Linked DNA regions of Drosophila melanogaster. The protein of the gene in region 2 interacts with the protein of the main gene of each other region in a biochemical or structural test. Each region holds a gene or a part of one and is shown on either strand. Other genes may lie near its edges.

Evidence for each region.
Region 1: the proteins of Cul1 (region 2) and Cand1 form a complex in vitro, tested with the Drosophila melanogaster proteins (one study listed by BioGRID).
Region 3: of the proteins of Cul1 (region 2) and Uba3, one has a biochemical effect on the other in vitro, tested with the Drosophila melanogaster proteins (one study listed by BioGRID).

What each region holds. Positions count from the first base shown.
Region 1 is NT_033779.5:10,357,634-10,366,544, reverse strand, and holds Cand1 (Cullin-associated and neddylation-dissociated 1), read left to right. Parts: upstream 1-3,837; 5' UTR 3,838-4,037; coding exon 4,038-4,082; intron 4,083-4,147; coding exon 4,148-4,531; intron 4,532-4,589; coding exon 4,590-4,879; intron 4,880-4,960; coding exon 4,961-5,123; intron 5,124-5,183; coding exon 5,184-6,542; intron 6,543-6,606; coding exon 6,607-7,834; intron 7,835-7,896; coding exon 7,897-8,043; intron 8,044-8,107; coding exon 8,108-8,238; 3' UTR 8,239-8,411; downstream 8,412-8,911. Other genes in the region: lft (lowfat), read right to left, coding at 396-774, 865-1,055, 1,117-1,280, 1,355-1,427; pim (pimples), read right to left, coding at 2,721-2,956, 3,020-3,343, 3,407-3,446; ClpP (caseinolytic protease proteolytic subunit), read right to left, coding at 8,760-8,911. UniProt on the Drosophila melanogaster protein: Key assembly factor of SCF (SKP1-CUL1-F-box protein) E3 ubiquitin ligase complexes that promotes the exchange of the substrate-recognition F-box subunit in SCF complexes, thereby playing a key role in the cellular repertoire of SCF complexes.
Region 2 is NT_033778.4:7,914,171-7,922,830, forward strand, and holds Cul1 (cullin 1), read left to right. Parts: upstream 1-2,783; 5' UTR 2,784-2,938; intron 2,939-3,007; exon of another isoform or gene 3,008-3,164; intron 3,165-3,561; 5' UTR 3,562-3,793; coding exon 3,794-4,669; intron 4,670-4,730; coding exon 4,731-5,777; intron 5,778-5,833; coding exon 5,834-6,235; 3' UTR 6,236-6,803; coding exon of another isoform or gene 6,804-6,881; 3' UTR 6,882-6,944; coding exon of another isoform or gene 6,945-7,302; 3' UTR 7,303-7,409; downstream 7,410-8,660. Other genes in the region: CG30377 (uncharacterized protein), read left to right, coding at 187-390; CG12159 (uncharacterized protein), read right to left, coding at 1,195-1,351, 1,731-2,182; Or43b (odorant receptor 43b), read right to left, coding at 6,804-6,881, 6,945-7,302, 7,598-8,373. UniProt on the Drosophila melanogaster protein: Core component of multiple SCF (SKP1-CUL1-F-box protein) E3 ubiquitin-protein ligase complexes which mediate the ubiquitination of proteins involved in cell cycle progression, signal transduction and transcription.
Region 3 is NT_033778.4:13,856,148-13,861,969, reverse strand, and holds Uba3 (Ubiquitin-like activating enzyme 3), read right to left. Parts: upstream 3,019-5,822; 5' UTR 2,973-3,018; coding exon 1,620-2,972; 3' UTR 1,540-1,619; downstream 1-1,539. Other genes in the region: CG16935 (uncharacterized protein), read left to right, coding at 128-341, 680-1,539; tum (tumbleweed), read left to right, coding at 3,485-3,563, 3,627-4,560, 4,630-5,417, 5,473-5,549. UniProt on the Drosophila melanogaster protein: Catalytic subunit of the dimeric Uba3-APP-BP1 E1 enzyme. E1 activates Nedd8 by first adenylating its C-terminal glycine residue with ATP, thereafter linking this residue to the side chain of the catalytic cysteine, yielding a Nedd8-Uba3 thioester and free AMP.

The DNA.
Region 1 (8,911 bases), on a different chromosome or scaffold from region 2:
TTAGCTGAAACACATCAGAAATATGAGTTTGTACAAAAGTTGAATTCAACTTTGTAGCTTCCCTTGCCTTGGATTCCACAATATATTTGGTTAGCTAAACAATATTAGCATTCATAAAATACAAATGAACTTTTAAGTTAAAATATTATATTTATTTTATTGGATTTAGTCTTATTTGTGTAGCAGCTGTTTTAAAAATCACATTTTCAAAGATTTTTAAATTAATTTTCATAATTTGGAAGTGTTTGTGGGAAGTGTAATAATTTCCGCTTGTTTTTCATCATGGAGATCATATGGTATGCCAATTAAATAAATATTGATCGTCGTTAAAGTTGAAATTATACGATTTATCTAAAAAAAGGGTTAATTTCGATCGTGCTTATTAATTTTTCCAATTAATCATCAATGGTAGCCGAGTTAAGGGCACTGCCGCCCAGCTGATTATGTGCTATCATAAGGATATCCTTCTTCTCCTTCGGAAAGCGCAATTCACGCCCAGCCATGCGAAAGGTCTCCAGCTCCCTCTCGGCGAGCACCAACTCCCTGCGAATAACGCCTGGATTATCGTGCTCCCTGGCAATCCAATCCAATGCCATCTGCGATCGCATCTCGTCGTCCAGGCTCCGGTTCGAATAATGAGCCACCACTTCCTGCCTGGAGCAGTGGCGTTCGCGCATTGCTTTCAGCGATCCGTTCCAGTGAAGCAGTTGGAACACGGTCATAAGCTCCTGGAACTCCAGCATGGTTCTTCCCTTGTTCGCCTCCAGCATGAATCTAAACTCAGAAAAATGTTTATTAATTCATAATACTTAGAAAGATAGGGTTTCAATAGCAAGTGCATATATTATGGTTTATGGAACCCACCTGAATGCTCCGATGCCCGATTCTGTGCCCTCGTTGATTTGCGATGTGCCCTTGAAGGAAGTGCGAGCATCCTGAACCGCCTTTTGAATGAACTCATCGCTGATTCGACGCGATGGATGCTCATTAAAGACGGAATTCATTAGGGCGATCTTGGCCGAACTGCGACGAGCCTCTGCCTTGGTGGGACAGTTCTAAAATGTAGTAAATGTGTTACAAAACACTGCGTCAACACTTTGCTAATAACGTAGTTACTTGAAAACTTCCAAAGCAGCTTCCTCCAGGAAGTGTTACGAAGCAAATGTATGGCTGGCTATTAGACGGAATCGATTCGTAAATCACAAGAGCTCCATTTTTCAATTCAGCTCCACGAGACTGCTTCATTTGCCAAAACTCTTGTAGGGCTTCAACGACATTTACTGAACGATATGCGAATTATGCGACTGGTTTATACTAATAGATAAAAAAAAAAACAAACACAAATCAAACTCACCTCTATAATCTCTATCCTCGTAAAATCCAGTTACGGTTGGTAAAACCCAAAAAGGTTCTTCGGGATAGACCATTTTTAAGATTATTCAATATTGTGTTGAACAAAGAATGGTTTCGGGTTTCGTTTTCAGCACAAATAAAACCGCATATCATTCAGTGGCTGCAGAAATTAACATCTAATTAATTTATTGGCTACAAATACTTAGTACATGTGTTAATTTAATTTTTTGTTCACTAAAAGTCCATTGAAGTGTCGGTAATTAGTTTCGATCTTGATTTCATCAGACAGGAAATATTATACATTAACAGCATATGTTTACATACATACAAGAGATGTATTGTTGCACTGGTGACACTGCCACGTCTTTAAACATATGTACATCGCAACATCCCTCGGCAATTACGAGTTTGTCGCCTAAGTCTTTCGATTCGGTGTGGTCGGAAAGTTTGTTAAATGCGTATGTATTTTGTACCAATTGCCGTATTAGGTCATAATTTTAACACAAACACAATTATTAGTGAACAATTGCACATCTTAAGTGAGTCTTTTTATGTTCATTTGCACGAGTATATGTTTATTTGTTAGATTTATACCTCTTTTGCATTTACATTTCGTTTTATACACTCATATTGTTAATTTTCACTTTTATTTTATCCAGGAGAACGGACCACTAAGGTCACCAGCGAGACGAGAAACCTTTCTGCAGCAATGTAAAAAAAACTGGATACATTACTGTGCCGCAGTGTTGCCAACTGTTGGCCACCAGAAAAAAGCCAGACGTCATTTAGCGGGAAAAGGCTAACAAGATGCAAACAAAAGCTAGCTAGCTGGGAAAATATTTTGGTTTACTGAACAAAAATGTTTAATTCCCAAATAAATATAAACTTTTCATATTAGGCAAACACAGAGGAAACCCTAAAAATAGATTAGAATTATTCCACCAAATATCAAATTCAATATAAACGGAGTGAATATACTTAAGCCCCGCGAATGCTGATAAATATCAAGAGACAAAAGGTGGAAGCAATAAACTCTGTTTACATTCACAACTGAACTCCAAAGCTCCATAAATTAATCTCCCAGTTAGTTTTTATAGTTGCTTTAATTCAAAATCACTTCCAAACGAGGTACATCGTACACATATAATTGCCTGTTGGAGGCTTAATGTCGGTTCTTAAACTACTAAATATATTGTAGCGTAAAAAAAATATTTTTCACAAATGTGATTCGAGACAACAAACTTGGATAGCTAATGGTATAACAGTTTCTCTTAGCATAACATTAATAAATAATTAATTAGTAGTACAAAGATACCTAGCTAAAAAATATTAAACTACAATTAATCATAGAACTTTTAAACAAGGATCTAAAATAGAACATCAATGCCTTCCAAGTTAGGCAATGGGGGATATAAATTTAATAAGTATTCAGGCTCTGCAGGCTCCATGTTTTCTGTGTTGTATATGTATGGCAGGTCAGTAAAATCTAGGGGCGGAAGGCATCTGTTTTCCAAATTATTTTCCAATGTGCGCAGATCAAGATAAAGTTGATCCAATAGTCCTTCATAGCCCTCTTGATTTTCCGACCAGGTCTCTGTGACCGCTGTAATAATACAACTTATAGTACAATTTTCAAGGGGAGTTGTTTAATATGAGCGGTACTTACGCTTGCTGCAGTTCTTCAAACATTTCTCGTTCGGAAAGTCAGTGTAGTTGAACAAATTGACGACTCTGTATTCGCAATTCAATACGTAGGCGCCCAAAAAGCAGCTATTTGTTTTATACCTAACTTCCTCGCGATCCCTGCTGACCACATTTTGTTTGGGGGCCTTTCGCAGCGAAAGCTTGGCAATACTACCCTCGAGTTTCAGAGAAGTGCTTTTGAACGGGGTTATTCCAGGAGTTTGGTGCATCACATTGTCAAGGTTACCAAGAGGTTTCTTCAATACGGAATTTGTAGGAACTCCATTTTTAATGGGATTCGCTGGCACTGCAATGATAAATGGCTATGTAATTACTAACACGAACGGGAGTCGAACCTAATTCAACTTACAATTAATGCCGGTGTTTTCCTTGTTTAAAATCTGATCCATTTTGTTAGCATTTATTGGTGTTAAAAAGGTATTTTGATTGAATTCTAGCAGTGAGCTGCGGTTTAGTTTAAAATAATTCCTGAAAACGAGCGGCACTTTTCTAGAGATGGGAGACTCTTAGTGCCACATAGCTGATATATCGTTCATCTGAAACGATGGTAATGACACAAAGTATTTTACTAGTAAATAAATTGGGAATTAATATTTGATAATATATATATTTATATTTTGATTGTCATGTATTAACTCAAAAATAAAATAACCTAAATATAAAAATTTACTAGTACATAAAATCTTGTTCCAAAATATTTCTCCACCGTATTTTATACCACGAAAATGTACCAAAACCATTATCGGCATCCAAAAGGCATTAGGGATTATAAAGTGGGTTTTTTAGTTTTTCAAAGTGGGCCCACTTAAGCAGCCTTTATAACAAAATTGAGTGAATATAAAACTTGGAGATTCAATACCGGAAAAATTTCAGTAAATTTTCAAGTTTTAGAACACCAAAAATAGGGCAGCCCAATACAAATACACAATATTTCACTTATCAGTTAATTGCTATCGATCGAACGTTTCAAAGCCTTCGCTATGGCGTCACATCAGTACCACCAAATTGCCAATTTGCTGGAAAAAGTATGTATAGAATTTCATTTTTGCAACATAACGAAATTCTAATTCCGCTCTCTCGTCTGCTGCAGATGACGTCGACGGACAAGGACTTCCGTTTCATGGCGACAAACGATCTGATGACGGAGCTACAGAAGGATAGCATCATCCTGGACGACGAGTCCGAGAAAAAGGTGGTGCGAATGGTGCTCAAGCTGCTGGAAGACAAGAACGGCGAAGTTCAGAACCTGGCTGTCAAGTGCCTGGGTCCCCTGGTCAACAAGGTGAAGGAGATCCAGGTGGAGACCATCGTGGACTCGCTGTGCGCCAACATGATGTCCAACACGGAGCAGCTGCGCGACATATCGAGTATTGGCCTAAAGACAGTGATTGCCGAGCTGCCGCAGTCCTCAAACTCCCTGGCCCCAAATGTCTGTCAAAGGATCACCGGCAAACTGAGCACAGCAATTGAGAAGGTGCGTTATATTGCTATTCCCTAGGCACCCAAACGTTTAATCCGTTGTTCCTTAATAGGAGGACGTCTCTGTGAAACTGGAGTCGCTGGACATTCTGGCCGATCTGCTCTCTCGCTTCGGGGAGTTCCTCGTTCCCTTCCACAGCACCATTCTGAAAGCTCTGATGCCCCAGTTGGCCTCATCGCGCCAGGCTGTTCGCAAGCGTACCATCGTGGCCCTGTCATTTCTGCTGATCCAGGCCAATAGCAACGCCTACAACGGTGTCATCGATCATCTGCTCGATGGCCTAGAGAACCCACCAAATCCAGCTGCCATTCGAACTTACATTCAGTGCCTGGCTTCGATATGGTAAGTTCCAATTCCTGAAATTGTTATATATTTTATGCCATATGATCTTTAGATGCAATTTTATTTAACTTTACTCTTTAGTCGACAGGCTGGCCATCGACTTTGCAATCACATTGATCGCTCCATGCTCCTGCTGAGCCAGTACAGCCAGCGGGATGACGATGAGCTGCGCGAGTTTTGTCTGCAGGCCTGCGAAGCTTTCGTCATGCGCTGCCCAGATGCCATAAACCCGCATATTCCCATGGTAAGGAGTACACATGCTTTATGTTCTCATTCACGTTTAATAGCTTATGGGTTTTGTTAGATCCTGGAGCTGTGCCTCAACTATATCACCTACGATCCAAACTACAACTACGAGACGGATGATGGCGACACTGGCAATGCCATGGACACGGAGGATGATGAGTACGTCGATAGTGAGGAGTACAGTGACGACGACGACATGAGCTGGAAGGTTCGTCGCGCTGCAGCCAAGTGTCTGGAGGTCTTGATATCCACACGGCAGGAGCTCGTCGAGGACTTCTATCGCAGCCTGAGTCCGGCTTTGATTGCGCGCTTCAAGGAGCGTGAGGAGAATGTTAAGTCCGACATATTTCACGCCTATGTGGCCCTGCTAAAGAACACACGCCTCACCGACGACGTGGCCAACGACCACGACTCAATGGATCAGGTATCGGGTCCGACCTCGCTGTTAATTGAGCAGCTGCCACTCATTGTGAAAGCCATACAGCCGTTAATGAGGGAAAAATCGATGAAAACGCGTCAAGACTGCTTCCTCTTGCTGCGCGAGCTGTTGAATTCGCTACCAGGTGCCCTGGGACCCTACTTGGACAGCATTGTGCCAGGCATAAGCTATTCGCTGAATGACAAAAGCTCTACCAGCAACATGAAGATCGAATCTCTGGGATTCCTTTACTCGCTGCTCCAAGGACATCCGCCGCATGTCTTTCATCCACATATTCCCCTACTGGTGCCCCTCGTAGTGACTTCGGTCTTCGATCCTTTCTATAAGATTGCCACCGAGGCGCTTTTGGTGCTGCAGCAGTTGGTAAAGGTGATTCGTCCATTAGAACCGAATGCGGCCAAGTCCGACTTTGATGCCCCATCGTTTGTGGGTCAGGTTTACTCGTGCACATTGCAGAAACTGAAAGTGACGGATGTCGACCAGGAGGTAAAGGAGCGAGCCATAGCCTGCATGGGGCAGATTATCGCCAACATGGGCGACATGCTGCAGAATGAGCTGGCGGTTTGCCTGCCAATCTTCATGGAGCGCCTAAAGAACGAAGTAACCCGTTTGAGCAGCGTGAAGGCGTTGACCCTGATCGCAGCTTCGTCCCTGCGCATAGATCTGACACCCATCCTGCACGACGTGTTGCCCGCATTGGGCACATTCCTGCGTAAGAACCACCGCGCCCTCAAGCTGCACTCCCTCGATCTGATCAACAAGATCGTCATCAACTATTCGAGCAACTTCGAGGCGAACCTTCTGCAGACAGCCATAGTTGAGATCCCACCGCTTATATCGGATTCGGATTTGCACGTAGCCCAGTACTCTCTGACGCTTTTGAGCACCGTAGCTCGCAGGCAGCCCCAAGCTCTGGTCGGCATACATGAGCAGTTCTTGCGCTCCGTGCTCATTTTGGTTCGATCTCCTTTGCTGCAGGTGGGTGAATTTTAATTAACAGCTGAGTAATTAGCAAAACTAATAACTGATTTCTTTGCTACAGGGATCCGCATTGAATTGCACGTTGGAGCTGTTCCAGGCCTTGGTGCAAACACAGCTGTCTGGCCTGGACTATCATTCGCTCGTTTCGAAGCTAATGGCACCAGTTCTGGGTGGCAACGGTGACGTCAAATCCAGAGCCACTGCCGGCGCTCCCAGTGAGGTGGTGCAGCTGCACAAGCAGGCCTATCACTCATCGGCCAAGTGCATTGCTGCCTTAACACAGCAGTGTCCCCAGGTGGCGACCCCATTGGCCACAAAGCTGATAACGGATCTGCAGAAGCGTAACGATACGGAAATCATATTCTGTTTGCTCACCATCGGTGAGATTGGCAGGCACTTTGATCTGAGCTCCATACAGGTGCTGCCGCAGACAATTATTGAATGCTTTGGGGCCACCTCGGAGGATGTAAAGGCTGCAGCCTCGCATGCTCTCGGCGCTGTGTCCGTGGGCAGCCTGCAGACATACCTGCCTCTGATTCTGCACGAGATTGAGGTGCAGCCGAAGAGACAGTATTTGCTGCTACATTCGCTTAAGGAGGTCATTTCATCGCTATCGGTATCGCCCAGCGGACTCGCCCAGCTCCTACCCTCGGTGCCATCCATTTGGGATCAGCTCTTCAAGCATTGCGAGTGTTCGGAGGAGGGATCACGCAACGTGGTGGCCGAGTGCCTGGGCAAACTGGTGCTGGTCAATCCCGACGAGCTGCTGCCGCAACTGCAGCAGGCATTGCGTTCCGAAAGCGCCACCATGCGCACCGTTGTTGTCTCCTCAGTAAAGTTTACCATCTCCGATCAGCCGCAGCCCATTGATGTTCTGCTCAAGCAGAACATTGGCGAGTTTCTATTTGCCCTGCGAGATCCGGAGCCCCAAGTGAGACGCGTCGCACTAGTAGCCTTCAATTCGGCGGTACACAACAAGCCCAGTTTGGTGCGCGATTTGCTGCCCACCCTTTTGCCTTGGCTCTACTCGGAGACGAAGGTGAAGAGCGAACTGATTAGGGAGGTGGAGATGGGTCCCTTCAAGCACACCGTCGACGACGGTCTCGACATTCGCAAAGCGGCATTTGAATGCATGTACACACTTCTCGAGCAGGGCTTGGATCGTGTGGATGTCATGCAGTTCCTGGACCATGTCCAGGCTGGTCTGTGCGACCACTACGACATCAAGATGCTGACGTACCTGATGACGGCACGTCTGGCCATCTTGTGCCCGGATAAGGTTCTGCTAAGTGAGTAGTACCAAAGCCTTGATTACTTGAGATCTCTTATTCACTTTGCTCAATTCTTTCAGGACTCGATCAATTTATACAGCAACTACGTGATACGTGCACCCACAAGGTGAAGGCCAACTCTGTGAAACAGGAGTACGAAAAGCAGGACGAACTCAAGCGTTCTGCCCTTCGTGCAGTCTCGGCCCTTTCGCAAATACCCAAAGCAAGTAAGTAAAAATATTGAAGAACATTGTATCTGAAAATAAACTAATTGAAATTCCTCTTCAATAGACAAAAATCAGCAGTTAGTGGATTTCCTCAAGTCGATCAAAGAAACACCGGAATTAAACAAGATCTTCGAGTACATACAGAAGGATTCCATCACCGGTAGCTCAGATATTATAGTAATGGATCAGAGTTAAAAGGGAAACTTGGTTTCAAATTCCTTTACTTAATTAAGAATATGCGTTTGCGCACAAACAAGTATCTCTTTTTCTGATATAGCTTTTAAATTTTCTAATAAGAAATAAATGCAGATCGACTTGAAAGAGTTAATTAGTAAACAGTAAACCACTCCCAAAAACTACCGACAACCAAAAACAAACAAATGCCGTATTGAGTACTGTGTTTATGAATTTTACTAAAAGTTTATTGATTGGTTTAGCATTTTAACGAGGGAGAATGATGGATGATAGGATCCATTTGCTCTTCCTGAAAGAGACTAGCTCTTCAATCAGATAACGATAATTCCAGTTCATCCTCTCTTAACTAAGAGCAACTGATTACGTAAAGGCTTTTAAACATTAATGATGCAATATTAATAATGCTCAATCATGAGAAAGTCGACATGGTGTATTTGGAAAGTGTATATTCTGTGGAAAACTGAATTATTCAAATTGTTTCGAACTTATGATTGAATTTTGGTCTATAGGAAGGTGGAAATTTAGGCTGCCTGCTTGCTTCTCTTCTTCTCGCACTCCTCGGGCACGGCTTTGCCGGAGGTGACGCCGCCGTCCGACGCGGGTCCCGTTTCGGAAACAGTCTCTGGAGGATGTTCAAGCACGTGGTCAATGATGCCCAGCACTTTTGCCTCCT
Region 2 (8,660 bases):
TGTATATATTTTTTTGAAATACCGAAGTTTACTGATATTAACAATCACTAACTAAGCTAGCTACGTCCATATCCGAAATTTTATAAATGCTTCCAATCTATTCTTAAGCTACCCTACAAAATGAGTGAATTGAAATTTTACCTGGATATTGAAAAACAACTTAAGATGACATCTTACTATTCGCAGCCATCCTCGCGACCCGAATCGGACTTCACGCTCGACCTGCCGCGGGCGGAACAGCTGCGTCTGAAAATGGAGAAGGAGAAGAAGTTCCGCCAAAGATGTCGCTTCATCACCACGTTCCTCAGCCTGGTCTTTTTCCTGCTGACTGTGATGGTGGTCAGCCTGGTTCTGACGCGCGGCAAACGGATGTTTGGCAGCATGATTTGATTTCGGGAATTCCCATCGGGGATGCCGATCGCCGACCCACGCCGTTGGCTATGTAGCCACACCAGTTAGCTCCTAGATCCGACTCTGGTAGGTCGGGAGAATGGAAAATGGCTCGGCGGAATATTACAAACTACAGTGCCAACTACAAATGTAAAACGTTAGCGAAGCTCAAGTTTAGTGTTAGCGGTAGTCGTAAGCTCCTGTGGTATTTCTTGGCAGGGCAGGGCCGCCACAGCCACAGCCGCAGTCGCAGTATTGTTAATAAATTATTTATGTGATCCTAGTTAATAAGTACAAGTTAGTGCATTTGTTTCCGTGCGTACGCGTATACTGCCTGTATCCAGCCTATGTATATCCTTTGTCACAGCTATCCATAAGCCCATTAACCTGTATTAAGTCTACGTTTGTAACCAATTATAGCTAGATTCGTCCTGTGAAAGTGTGAAGAATAAAGAGAGAAGCGAGTACATGTAATATAACATTTATTTATATGGAACATCGACGCAGAGGCGATTTGAAAGCATTGGTATTTATGAGATTTTTAATGCCTTGCATACATATCATCGTAATCGTTATCACAAGTGGTTTTGTTTTCCTTTTTGATTCGTTAAACCTGAACCAACTGCGAGTAGGAGAAATGCAGAGAACTTAGTTATTAGTGGGCTTAGTCGGCTATTGGCTGGCAGCTACAGCTCAAATCTACAAAGCATTAAATAGCTACGAAACAAGGCAAGTTCTGATGAGAAGTGTCGGAAATGGCGGTGCGACCAAACGGATCTTTGGCGTGTGCATGTGTCTGCTATTTCATAATATGCGTATGTTCTGGCGATTGACCTCGAACAGGGTGTGGTCCTCTTCGTCACTATTCACGTCCTCGATGGCCATGGGCAGTGGTGTCAGCTCCTGGTTGGCGCGGTCGCCCTGCACGCCGTACTTGCGCTCCGCCCGGGAAAGTCGGAGCCTGCAATGATTTGCGATTCGATTAGTCTTATCACCAAAAATTGCTAGTATAATAACTTAATAATGTAGGTATGTATGTATAAAGTAAAATTCAGTATATATAGGTAGTCTGTTTTGCATATAGTCCACCGATAAGAATATTTAAAGCTACATATTTAAACATTACGCTTAGTTTTAAATTAGTATTCTAACAATATTTACTGGAAATTTTAATTTCAAGGCACGATAAAGGATCGCTGTAAACTTTTGAAATCCTTAAAAATCTATTCTTTGCTGTTTTACCTTTGCATTACAAAATAATAAGGAAGACTTTGAAATAACCTTTCATGCTTTTCTGGACTCTAGTCTAGAGCTCTAGGATATGTCCTTCATTAACTCACCTATAAACCCTCATAATAAGCAGCAGTATTGCAGTACTGGTGATTCCCACGAGGATGTAGACAACAGCCTGGCCCGGAAAGTCCACATCGGGGGACATGGGAGAGCGTTCAACATGAACATCATCCACGGGAAGACCTCCCGGAGGCTGCACCATTTCCGGTGCCTTGGCATCTCCTGGTGAAACTTGTGTGGCAACCGAAGCACCTGGAGCAACCGGAGCAGGTCCGCCATCGTCTACGACCACCATAGAATCCTTTGGTCCTGCCGGAGGATTCTCTGCTTGCGATTTCTTCACGACTGGCTTTTTGGCCTCCACCTCAGCAGCCGGCGCACTCTGCTCCGCAATTACCACCGTCTTTTGGGGCGTCTGGGTGGCTGCGTCACAGGATTGCTGGTGGAAGAACAGCAGCAGCAGTGCTGCAGCCACTAAGCAGAAGCAGCGACAGGACATCTTTTCGTATCCAACTATCAAAATTACTAAATATAGCCGCTTCTAAGCATAAACAATGACCTTTTAAATTTCTTTGCTGCACTGTTTTTGTTTTGCTTGGCGTCAGAGTTGCCGCACATGTCAAAGCAAACGAATCGAAATTGAAGTAAATGCGTATGCCTTCTATACACGGTCACATTGGTTTGAGTCCTGGAGGAGTTGTGTTTCGTACGGGCATTAGGGTGAACCTGTATAAGACTATATAAGCATACCCTAATTATTTGAAAAGGGTTTTATTATGCAAGTGCTAAGACCAATCGTTTTATATAAAGTATAGATTGTTCTCAAGTTCCAGGAAGTGTGCCCAGGAAAATGACATCTATAAGAAGGTTTCTGTAACCGCTAACGGATTTGTAAAATCTAAGATACGAACCGCGTTGCCGATATTTTACATCACGCTTTGAAGAGCCTAACAGCGATATTTGATATTATAAACTATAATATAACTGCTTTCCGTGTAAAGAATTCCCTGAAAAATGAGATCGCCACCAATAGTGGCGCCCAATAAATAGATCGCCAACGATAGCTGGTCTTAAGCGATACCACCGTCGAGGGCCTTGCAGCGCAATGGCCGAACGGTCACACATTTTAATAGTTAGGAATAAACGAAAGTTAGCAATTTTCACAGAAAAAAAAAATTAATTTAATTATAAGCAAAGCAGTGAAACACAATTTTAATTTAGTTTTAGTTTTAATTTTAGCAGCGTCTGGCAACAGGTAATATAAAGCAAAATGAGGGAAATGCAAAGAGACGGGATTTCGTGCTTTGAAAATGGCGAACAAAAGAGAAAAAGTGTGTGTGCTCCAAGGGGAAATCAAATCCATCACGACGTCACGAAAAGAAAACTCAGTCGCACGGCTCAATTTACCAGGAAAATAAATTTCGTTTGGAGGGAGCTATGTGAAAAATCGAAAAAAATGTTAACAATTTAGTTGTGAAATGGTTATGTCCGCTATCTTTTCTCTTGGCTTTATGTGCCTTTGTGTGGGTGCGGGTGTGTGTGTGAAGGCGAGGGCGACTGCATATGTGTGCATGCGAGTGTTTATTTAACCAGGAAGTTGGGTTTTCGAACACGATCTAACGATAGCGGGGGCGGTGGTGGGGCTTCACCTGCCATGCGATTGGCCAATACCCTACATTGCAGGGCATGTCCGACCACCGCGCATTGCATTACAGCTTGTGCGTGCATGTGTGTGTGTGTGTGTATTCCGCAAGCCTCTCTTTTATTGCTGTGACATTGGATCATAATAGGCGACCTTCGGGTCGTCGCTTTTAACGTGGCGAGGCCTACTACATTCCCAATCCCATTCCGTTTTTGTACCGATTCTCTCATCTGCAGATTGACACTTTAAATTCCAAAATTGGAACACCGATTCGCCAAGATTCCGGCCACAACTCCAAGGACGAGAGCCGCGAAACGACGCCACCTGGAAAGCAGCAGCAATCCCCTGTCGCCCGCGCAGCATTCGCCACCTAGGGTCATTGCCTTCTCCAGCCCAGCGCCACTGCAGGGACAGCATCCTCCAGTGGAAGAAGGCAGAAGGCCGTTGCCACAACCCACCGCCGCCAGAATGAACCGCTCCGGCAATTCCCAGACCACACAGAAACTCGTCAACCTGGACGATATCTGGAGCGAATTGGTCGAGGGCATTATGCAGGTGTTTGAGCACGAGAAGTCCCTCACCCGCAGCCAGTACATGCGTTTCTACACTCACGTCTATGACTACTGCACCAGCGTGAGCGCGGCTCCAAGCGGACGGAGCAGCGGAAAGACAGGCGGAGCGCAGCTGGTGGGCAAGAAGCTGTACGACCGGCTGGAACAATTTCTCAAGTCATACCTGAGCGAGCTGCTCACCAAGTTCAAGGCCATCAGCGGCGAGGAGGTACTCCTGTCGCGCTACACCAAACAGTGGAAGTCGTATCAGTTCTCCAGTACCGTTCTGGACGGCATCTGCAACTACCTGAATCGGAACTGGGTGAAGCGCGAGTGCGAGGAGGGGCAGAAGGGTATCTACAAGATCTACCGACTGGCCCTCGTCGCCTGGAAGGGACATTTGTTCCAAGTGCTAAATGAGCCGGTCACCAAGGCAGTGCTCAAGTCCATTGAGGAGGAGCGTCAAGGCAAGCTCATTAACCGGTCGCTGGTCCGCGACGTTATCGAGTGCTACGTGGAGCTCAGCTTTAACGAGGAGGATACCGATGCCGAGCAGCAGAAGTTATCCGTCTACAAGCAAAACTTTGAAAACAAGTTCATCGCAGACACATCAGCCTTCTACGAGAAGGAGTCGGACGCCTTTCTGTCCACCAACACGGTCACCGAGTATCTGAAGCACGTCGAAAACAGGCTGGAGGAGGAGACGCAGCGCGTCCGCGGCTTTAATTCAAAGAACGGTCTTTCCTATCTGCACGAGACCACAGCGGATGTGCTGAAGTCCACATGCGAAGAGGTGGGATTGCCTACCGTGTCCAACTTTAAAGCCGCCTACTAACCGAATCAATGTCTTTCAGGTTCTTATCGAAAAACATCTGAAAATCTTTCACACCGAGTTTCAGAATCTGCTCAACGCAGACCGAAACGATGATCTGAAACGGATGTACTCCTTGGTCGCCCTCTCGTCCAAAAACCTGACAGATCTCAAGTCCATCCTTGAGAACCATATACTCCACCAGGGCACGGAGGCCATTGCCAAGTGTTGCACTACCGACGCGGCCAACGATCCCAAGACGTACGTACAGACCATCCTGGACGTGCACAAGAAGTACAACGCCCTCGTTCTGACGGCGTTCAACAATGACAACGGATTTGTGGCCGCTTTGGACAAGGCGTGTGGAAAGTTCATAAACTCGAACGTGGTCACGATCGCAAACAGTGCTAGCAAGTCGCCCGAATTGCTGGCCAAGTACTGCGATCTGTTATTAAAAAAATCCTCGAAAAATCCCGAGGACAAGGAGCTCGAGGACAATCTTAACCAGGTGATGGTCGTGTTCAAGTATATCGAGGATAAGGACGTCTTCCAAAAATATTACTCCAAGATGCTTGCTAAGCGCTTGGTTAACCACACATCGGCTTCGGATGACGCCGAGGCTATGATGATCTCCAAACTGAAGCAGACATGTGGTTACGAATACACCGTCAAGCTTCAGAGGATGTTCCAGGACATTGGCGTCTCAAAGGACTTGAACTCGTACTTTAAGCAGTACCTGGCCGAAAAGAACTTGACCATGGAAATAGACTTTGGCATCGAAGTCCTGTCCTCAGGCTCTTGGCCTTTCCAGCTGAGCAACAACTTCCTGCTACCATCTGAGCTGGAGCGGTCAGTGCGACAGTTCAATGAGTTCTACGCCGCCCGCCACTCTGGCCGCAAGCTCAACTGGTTGTATCAGATGTGCAAGGGCGAACTGATAATGAACGTCAACCGCAATAATTCCTCCACCTACACCCTGCAGGCCAGCACCTTCCAAATGTCAGTGCTGCTCCAGTTTAACGATCAGCTCAGTTTTACAGTCCAGCAACTGCAGGACAACACACAGACGCAGCAGGAGAACTTGATTCAGGTGAGAGTAGTGTCAATAGATAGAATTAATAGAGACTTATGTAAGAATTTCTTCAGGTATTGCAAATACTGCTCAAGGCGAAGGTGCTGACCTCCAGCGACAATGAGAACTCGCTGACGCCAGAGTCGACGGTGGAGCTGTTCCTCGATTACAAAAACAAGAAGCGCCGAATTAACATCAACCAGCCTTTGAAGACTGAACTTAAAGTGGAGCAGGAGACTGTACATAAGCACATAGAGGAGGACCGAAAATTACTGATCCAGGCGGCGATCGTCCGCATCATGAAGATGCGCAAACGACTCAACCACACCAATCTCATATCGGAGGTGCTTAATCAGCTGTCAACGCGCTTTAAGCCTAAGGTGCCCGTGATCAAGAAGTGCATAGACATCCTGATCGAGAAGGAGTATCTAGAGCGAATGGAGGGACACAAAGACACATATAGTTATCTCGCCTAAGTTTTTGTTAAATGAACAACTTTCGCTGTTTCATCTATGCCAGCCATTAAAAATATCATCAATAAACTTAGATTCGTGTCGACCCTCCGCTACCCTTCCTCCTAGCCCGAAATAAACTGCCGCCGAAACATTCGAACTAGAAGCGAGCTAAAAATACTCCATGCTTCGCATAAAATGTGCAATTCTCGCCAACGCGTCACTAACTCCATCTTCCGACACCCAGCACCTCATTCAAAGAAAAGGCCAGTCGCAGGGATCAAGTGAACCTATTGACCAGATCACAGCCGATGAATCCGGCCTCTGTAGGAACATATTCCAATTGCCGAGGACAAGGTTCCAGGTTCCCAGCCTACAAATAGACTTCTGCAGGGGCTGTACGGTATACATATGTAGCGATTTTCTTTACTTCCCATTGTTCGATCAATATTTGTTTTAACTAGATTATGTTTATTCATAATTCGCTGTATGCATATACAATTATTATAATTCTACGAAGCAAAAAAGTGTTAAGTTCATAAAACTATGTACGTTTACCTCTGGTGCGGTCAATTGTATTGAGTATTCCTTTCTATTCCTTAATGCTTAACTTTTGGTCCAGGTTCATACCGCTCGCGATGGCGTACACGGTGAAGGCGAACTTGGCTACCTGCAAGGATTGAAGTTCGGACTTTGCTTCCTTCCCCGTTCTAACCGAGAGCAGTGGACTTACATTGATGTTAGTGGCCAAATTAATGTTAAATATGTTCATGGCGGTGAAGGTCATGGGCTGCTGCAGTTTCTGCAGGAACTGGATGACAGTCCGCTGGTATCGCTTGTCCTGCACCCACCAGGCGGAATGGAAAAGTGCGTGGGCCAGTTCTTTGCAGTCGTCCACGATGGCGTTGCAGTAGAAGCAAAGCGGAAAAGTCTGCAGAAGGACGGCCATAACGTAGATGACTATGCCGAATCGGGTCGATTGATCAGCGAACAATACCATGTTGATCATAATTATGCCCAGGATCGATCCGCATATGATGAATTGGGCAAATATCGTGCCAGAGATGATTGGTTGAATGGCATCACAAAAACTGCATGGGAAACAGTGGGATGGGTTTTTAACATTGAAAATTTAAATTAATGCATATATTTTAAAAAATGTAAGCTAATTTATTTGAAATAAAATAGTTTTATGTCGAATCGTTTGATATACCATTTATTTTATCCTGAATGTAAAAATATACTCTTATATATTCAGAAATATCAATAGCGAGTTCTTATAAAAGTTGTACTTTTATTCAGTTTTCCGAATAAATTCAGATCCGTTGAGTGAAAACATAATTCACGGTTGTTGATATTTCCGGTAGGATAATGAAACTGACTTACTTTAGCATGGTTCTGTGTGCCTTGATACAATCCACCAACGATTTAAACATGTAGCTCGGGTCGCTGCTACCCTCGTTGCTGGGATCGCCCAAGTAAATGATACGGTCCTTGAGCAAGAGAATATGAGTTCGCAGGGCTGCCACGTAAATCACAGGGTAGGAATCGGTGGCGGTGGCCACATATATGGCATAACCCACGGTGAAGTACTCCAGAAAACTCTGGATGTACATCTGGGTCCGATCGACTCGCCAGTTTATGAACGGATAGTACGTATTGTAGGGAACACGGTGGTGCAGTAGTCCGTCCAGTAGCGTGGAGGTGGCGTAGAGGACGTAGACCACGACGAAGGTCAGGTACAGTCTTGTAATAGTGGCCACCATGTCGCGAACCTTGCGCTTCTCCGCCGGCTTCACGCAGTACTTATCCAATTCGTCAAAGTGCTTGTTGGCCAGCTCCAAGCGGTGCGTATAGACGATCAGAGTGAAGAACTTCAGAGCGAAGCACCAAGTGTTGAGGCACAGTTGCAGGGATTGCAGCAGCAGCTCCGGCGGGAACTCCGCCAGATGTATCACATAGTTGATTGGGAAACTTACGGGAAGTATCACCATATTGTAGGTGAACGAAAACACCCTCCAAATCTTGCGGCCTATACCGAAATCGTTCTTCAAATTCAAGCCCGAATTTCGCAGCGTCTCCATCATGTATGCATTCGAATCCCTAGACTGTATGGGCTCCGATATAGGAGCCGGATAGACGAGCTTAAAGTGTCCGAACATCTAAAGTTTCGAATGTTTAAGGCTATAATATAACTGGCGATAGGAGGAGCTCGGAATGCTTTTATAGTCCGCGATTTGTAGTTCTTAATTAATGTTTGCCAATTTAGTAGGCGTTCCTCTTTTGGTTGCAAAGAATTTTACACATGTGATAACATATCAAATTATTAAACCATATTTCTGTGTGATTATAGACATTGGCCTTTAGGGTGTTTTTTTTTTAAATGATTTTTTCTGATAGTTCCTTAAAAATGGTTGCCAATTTAGTGGGCGTTTCTCTTTTGGTTGCA
Region 3 (5,822 bases), 5.9 Mb from region 2:
ACATTATAAATCTCTTTGGCGTCATTAAAATTCAAGTTGGCAGCAATGTAGCGACGGTCATACTAACCTGCATAATAATTTTCGTTTTACTCTTTTGATGGTCAAAAATCATAACTACTACTAACAAATGTTGCGCCGAGGCTTTTTATCTCGCATCAACGCAGCCCAATGGAGCCGCCAAATGTCGGTGGTGGCCAAGTCCTTGAAGTACACACAGCACGGCGAACCACAGGAGGTTCTGCAACTGGTGGAGGACAAACTTCCCGATCCCAAGGACAACCAGGTGCTGGTGAAGATTCTGGCAGCTCCCATTAACCCGGCGGACATAAACACCATTCAGGGTATGCTGGCCATTAGGATATATCACAAACAAACATATATTATGCATGATACAACTGAAATATAGCCATAACCGGCATGAACTGCATAATTAATAACGATAATCTTCTGCTGAAACAACTGGATAAGAACTGAAGATCAGAGATACTTGTATTCTAAGTATACCCACTTGCTTGAAAGTCAGTTATGGGATAATCAGAAGTAATCCATTTAAAGTTAAACGAATGTTATCAGTACATCTTTGTACTTTGAACGATGCTCAAGGTTGTGGCTTTAAATTTTAAAGAAGCCTAGCTTGTTTAAAGTCACTTTGATAATGATTATTATAAATCCTTTACAGGTAAATACCCGGTGAAGCCCAAGTTTCCAGCCGTTGGCGGCAATGAGTGTGTGGCGGAGGTCATCTGCGTGGGCGACAAAGTCAAAGGCTTTGAGGCAGGACAGCACGTCATTCCCTTGGCCAGTGGCCTGGGCACCTGGACCACCCATGCCGTCTACAAGGAGGATCAACTATTGATCGTGTCCAAGAAGGTTGGCTTGGCGGAGGCCGCCACCTCGACAGTGAATCCCACCACTGCCTACCGAATGCTAAAGGACTTTGTGCAGCTCTGTCCGGGTGACACGGTCATCCAAAACGGCGCCAATAGCGCCGTCGGCCAGGCAGTGCACCAATTGTGCCGAGCCTGGGGCATCAATAGCGTTGGCATTGTACGCGACCGCCCAGAAATTGCCGAATTGAAGCAGATGCTGCAGTGCCTGGGAGCCACCGAGGTCCTAACAGAGGCCGAAATTCGCACCAGTGACATCTTCAAGTCGGGCAAGTTGAAAAAGCCCCGTCTGGCCTTCAACTGTGTGGGCGGAAAAAGCGCCACGGAGGTGTCGCGTCATCTAGACAATGGCGGAGTGCTGGTCACCTACGGCGGAATGTCCCGCGAACCCGTCACAGTGGCCACTGGACCCCTCATTTTCAAGGACATTGCATTTAGAGGCTTCTGGATGACTCGCTGGTCCAAGGAGAACTACAGTTCACCAGAGCGTTCGAAAATGTTCAAGGAGATCTTCGAGCTGATGGAGCAGGGAAAGTTCGTGGCCCCCAACCATGAGATGGTGCCCTTGGCAAAGTTCAAAGACGCGGCGGCCGCTGCCTTGAGCTTCAAGGGATTCACCGGCAAGAAGTACATACTGGATATGAGCATTTAGATGCGTAACTCGAGGCTAAGCCTGCTGTTTATTTACATATACGACTTGTGTATTAAAATTGTTATCTACTGTGATACACTTTAGACCATCTCCACCTCATTGGACTGATACTTCAGCTGCAGAGTCATGGCGGACGGCGAGGTGGCATCGGTGACTGTGAGCTGCTGTCCATCGTGTAGACCCAGTTCGCCCAGGCTCTGAGTAAGGTTCTTTCGGGTGGCCTCTTCAATGCTCTTTACCCCGGACATGTACAAAGTCCGCCGCTTGCCGTCCTTCATCACAGTGGTCAAGGCTGGGCTTTTCAGCTGGAAACGCGGGGAATCACACAATAGCTTTATCACATCCTCCAGCGTGGTGGTGTTGGGATCCTCAATCGGCAACGGCTGCGGTGTATTGCTGCACGCCAAGCAGTTTTCCGACTTCTCGGCCTCGTAGGTGTAGGTATAGATTCCGTCCAGGTCGTTGAAGTTCAGGTAGTTTGCCATGCTGTCATAGCAGCTGGTGGCCAACTTAAAGACCTCCAAAGCACAGGCGGCGGCAATGGCTGCATTGGTACTGGCCACAGCTGGAATGATGTGCTTGACAACGCCCTGGACCAAGCGATAGGTCACTCCGGTGATGTTAAACTCATTGGACCGCTCCAGTGCCCGTTCGTAGATCCAACCAATGTGCTGGGGATCGTCCCCATCGAGGGGCACTCCAAACGGATTCTGTTTCTCCCACTGTATGATCTTTACGTACTCAATGCAATGCTCCGGAAGCCTGGGAGTATTTGCTATGGTGCATAGGGGATAGTTGACCTGCGGCGGGAACAGGTCCAGCGTGCACTCAATGCAGGCCGTGAAACCGGGCAGGATGACGCGTGCGTTCCCCTTGAAGCCCTCGGTGCCGCCATCAATCATGGGCACTATGGAGCTGGTATCTATGGTGCCGTCCTCCTCATATCGCAGCATTGATAGCAGCATGCCATTGATCCAACGCCGGGCGACAATGGAGTCTAGGCCACAGACAACCAGGTGGAACTGCTGATAGAAGGACTCATCGAAGTCCTGGATTTTCTTGAAATGCGGCGTCACCCGGCAAGTAGGCACTCTTGCGTTGATGAAGCGAGCCGCACACTCCGCCTTGGAGGCGCCAATGTCTGTGCGACGGAACAGAAACTGGCGATTCAGGTTGGACAGCTCGATGGTGTCCATGTCGATGACGTGCAGGTTGCCGAAGCCCATCAGAGCCAGATCCTTCAGCAGTTCGCAGCCCAGGCCACCGGCTCCGATGATCAGAACCTGGCACTTGGTCTGCAAGAACTCCAGGTTTTCCGACGAGGCCGCGAAACCGTCCTTGCAGAAGGGACCTTCGCGTTCCAGGATGTTCCGCAGTCCATTGAAACGCTTGCTCTGGAGGATTAAGCCAGGATTGGGTGAGTGGACAGACATTTTTCAAACAAAATCGAGACTGTGATTCGTTTAGCAACACTACTCGGGTCGGAATAAATATTAGTGATGGTAGCTTATGTGAATAAGAATTTATATAAGACATATTGTAAATAAAAAAAAATATTGTAATTATATTATTATTAATATAATCATTTCAAAAGTATTAATAGGATAACATTAAATTATTTTTTATTTAATTCCGAAAGAATTGTTAACTTGAAACAATCTCTATCATCTCTAACACGATCAGATCGATATTTTCTGTTAGCATGACTACCCTACTGTTATTTCGAGCCACCCATTAATGGTCACACTGCGCAGATGGCGTCAATTTGAAAACAACGGAACTTGAAAAAATTCAGCGCGTCTTTTGCAGCGTGCTCCGTTTGCCACTCGTTTTTGGGTAAATACTACTGATTTTCAGTAGATTTCGAAGTTGAATCAAGGAAACCAGTGTGCAGGCAGTCCCTGCGAGTGAAAACCGATTCGTAGAACTACCGAGACAAGCAAAAATGGCGCTCTCCGCATTGGCGTCCTTCGATGATCTGCGACGCTGCATGCAAGTGCTTACCGATGGAACTCCTGAGGAGGGTGAGTAAAACTGAAAACACGCAAGGCAAATGAAGCCCTACATGATGCTTGTATTCCATTTAGAGTTCCTGCGGTTCTTGCGCATGTTCGAGCAGTACCACGAAAAGTGCGCGGGCTACGCGGCCGAGACGGCCAGGATACAAAACGAGCTGGACAAGTCGTTGACCAAAATGGGCGACCTGGAGGGCAAACTCTTTCACGCACGCCGCATCATCGACATGGAGATCAAGGCGCGCCGCCAGGCGGAACACGAACGAGATGCCATGGAGAGCAAGATCATGGCTGTGGCAGATCTGCTGCGACACGAGCGCAATCTGAACAACGAGACCCGCGACAAGCTGGCCTTTCTGCACACACTGCCCTCGTCGCGAAAGCGCAAGTCCCTGAATGCCGTGCGGGAGGACAAGTCCTATGGCGACATCAACTCCACCGGATCGTTGCTGTCGGATTTGTCTATTACACACTCCGAGGACGACTTCCTCGATGTGCGCACATCAAAATCTTGGCGAGAGCATCGTCCTTCGCTGCCCAAGAACCAGATTCCTAGCGTTGGCAACAAGAGATCGCGATTGAGCACTGGACTGAATGGCAGTATGTCCGGGACTACACCAACCACTGGCAAATCGCGGCGCTCTAGCGTCGGAATCGGAGTGGAGCAACACACGGTGGACGTGGGTCAAGGCGCTGAGCGCTTTTGTGCCACCACCAAGGTCACCATACCCCAGGATGGACAGGGCGTGATTCGTGCAGAGTCGACCATTGAGTCGCTGCCTGTAATTGCCGGCAACGAGAGGATCGGCGACGGACTATCCTCGACGCCACGGCGATCGGTGCTTAAAGAGGCCACCGCACCGCCGCTGACGCCGGTAAATGCTATGGCACCTCACGTTGTCGCTGAATCCGGAACGCCACTGCAGCACCGTCCACTGATGAGGAACCACACCTTCAGTCAGAAGACATTCTTGCGTGGCGACAATTGCGTTCAGTGTCAGAAACGGTAAGCTTACTAGAAGTTCTGCTCCAAGTAGGTTTTTTTTATTAATTAAATACTTTTTATACTCTTCAGCATACGGTTTGGAGCCGTTGGGCTGAGATGTCGGGATTGCCCGGTGCGCTGTCACATCGATTGTCGGTATCTGCTCACCGTTAGCTGTGTGCCGCAAACGGGAACACCGACGACGAAGACCATGACTGGCTATGTAACGGACTTTGCACCATCTATTGCACCCATGATCCCGGCACTGATTGTGCACTGCGTAAATGAGATTGAAGCCCGCGGCCTGACCGAGGTTGGCCTCTATCGATTGTCCTCGTCGGAGCGGGAGTACAAGGCCCTCAAGGAGCAGTTCCTGCGAGGCAAGGCCACTCCACATTTGGGCAACACGGATATCTATGTGCTGTGCTGTTGTGTCAAGGATTTCCTGAGGTCCCTAACAGAGCCTCTCATTCCCACCAGCCAATGGAAGGATTTCGCAAACGCAGTCCAAAATCCTGACACCAAAACTGCCCAGGATATGTTGGTTAAGTCGGTGAAGCAGCTACCACAGGCCAATAGGGATACGCTGGCCTTCCTCATACTGCACTTCCAACGAATTGCCCAGTGCCCAGTCGTGCTAATGCCGATCGATAACATCTCGCTCATCTTTGGCCCCACCATTGTGGGCTACTCCACACCAGATCCCGACCAGCATGCGATCTACACGGAAGTTTTCACCCAGAAGCAGGTGATGAAGGCACTTCTTGAGCTGCCCGTTTCGTTCTGGGAGCAATATATCGTTATAGATCCGACAAGAACACCGGCCACAGTTATCAAGCGGGTGCCAAGCAACAAAAATGACTTACTCTCGCTATATGGTGAGTTATTTATGAGCTAATTTTTTTAATTATTCTAATTATCTCTCCTTCACAGCAACTCCCTTCAAAGGAGGCACCATTAAGAAGCGGAAGTTTTACGGCACACCGCCGGCATCTGCGCACAAGAAATAACGAGACTTTCCTTGTTGGAAAGCATTTGACGTGTTACTTAAGTTTACTTCAAGTATTTTGCAAGTTTTTTGTTTCCGGCCAGCCAACCCCGAGCTGTATTTGTACCCAACCCAACCATAAGCTTTTCTTTATAATTTATGCGTTCGATTATAAACTAAAGCACGTTATTATCGTACTAACATAAGTATACTCACCAGAGAAATAAACTAAAATATGCATTTGAAAAGCAATAAGAACAATGAACAAATATATAAATAAACGATAAAAGAATAT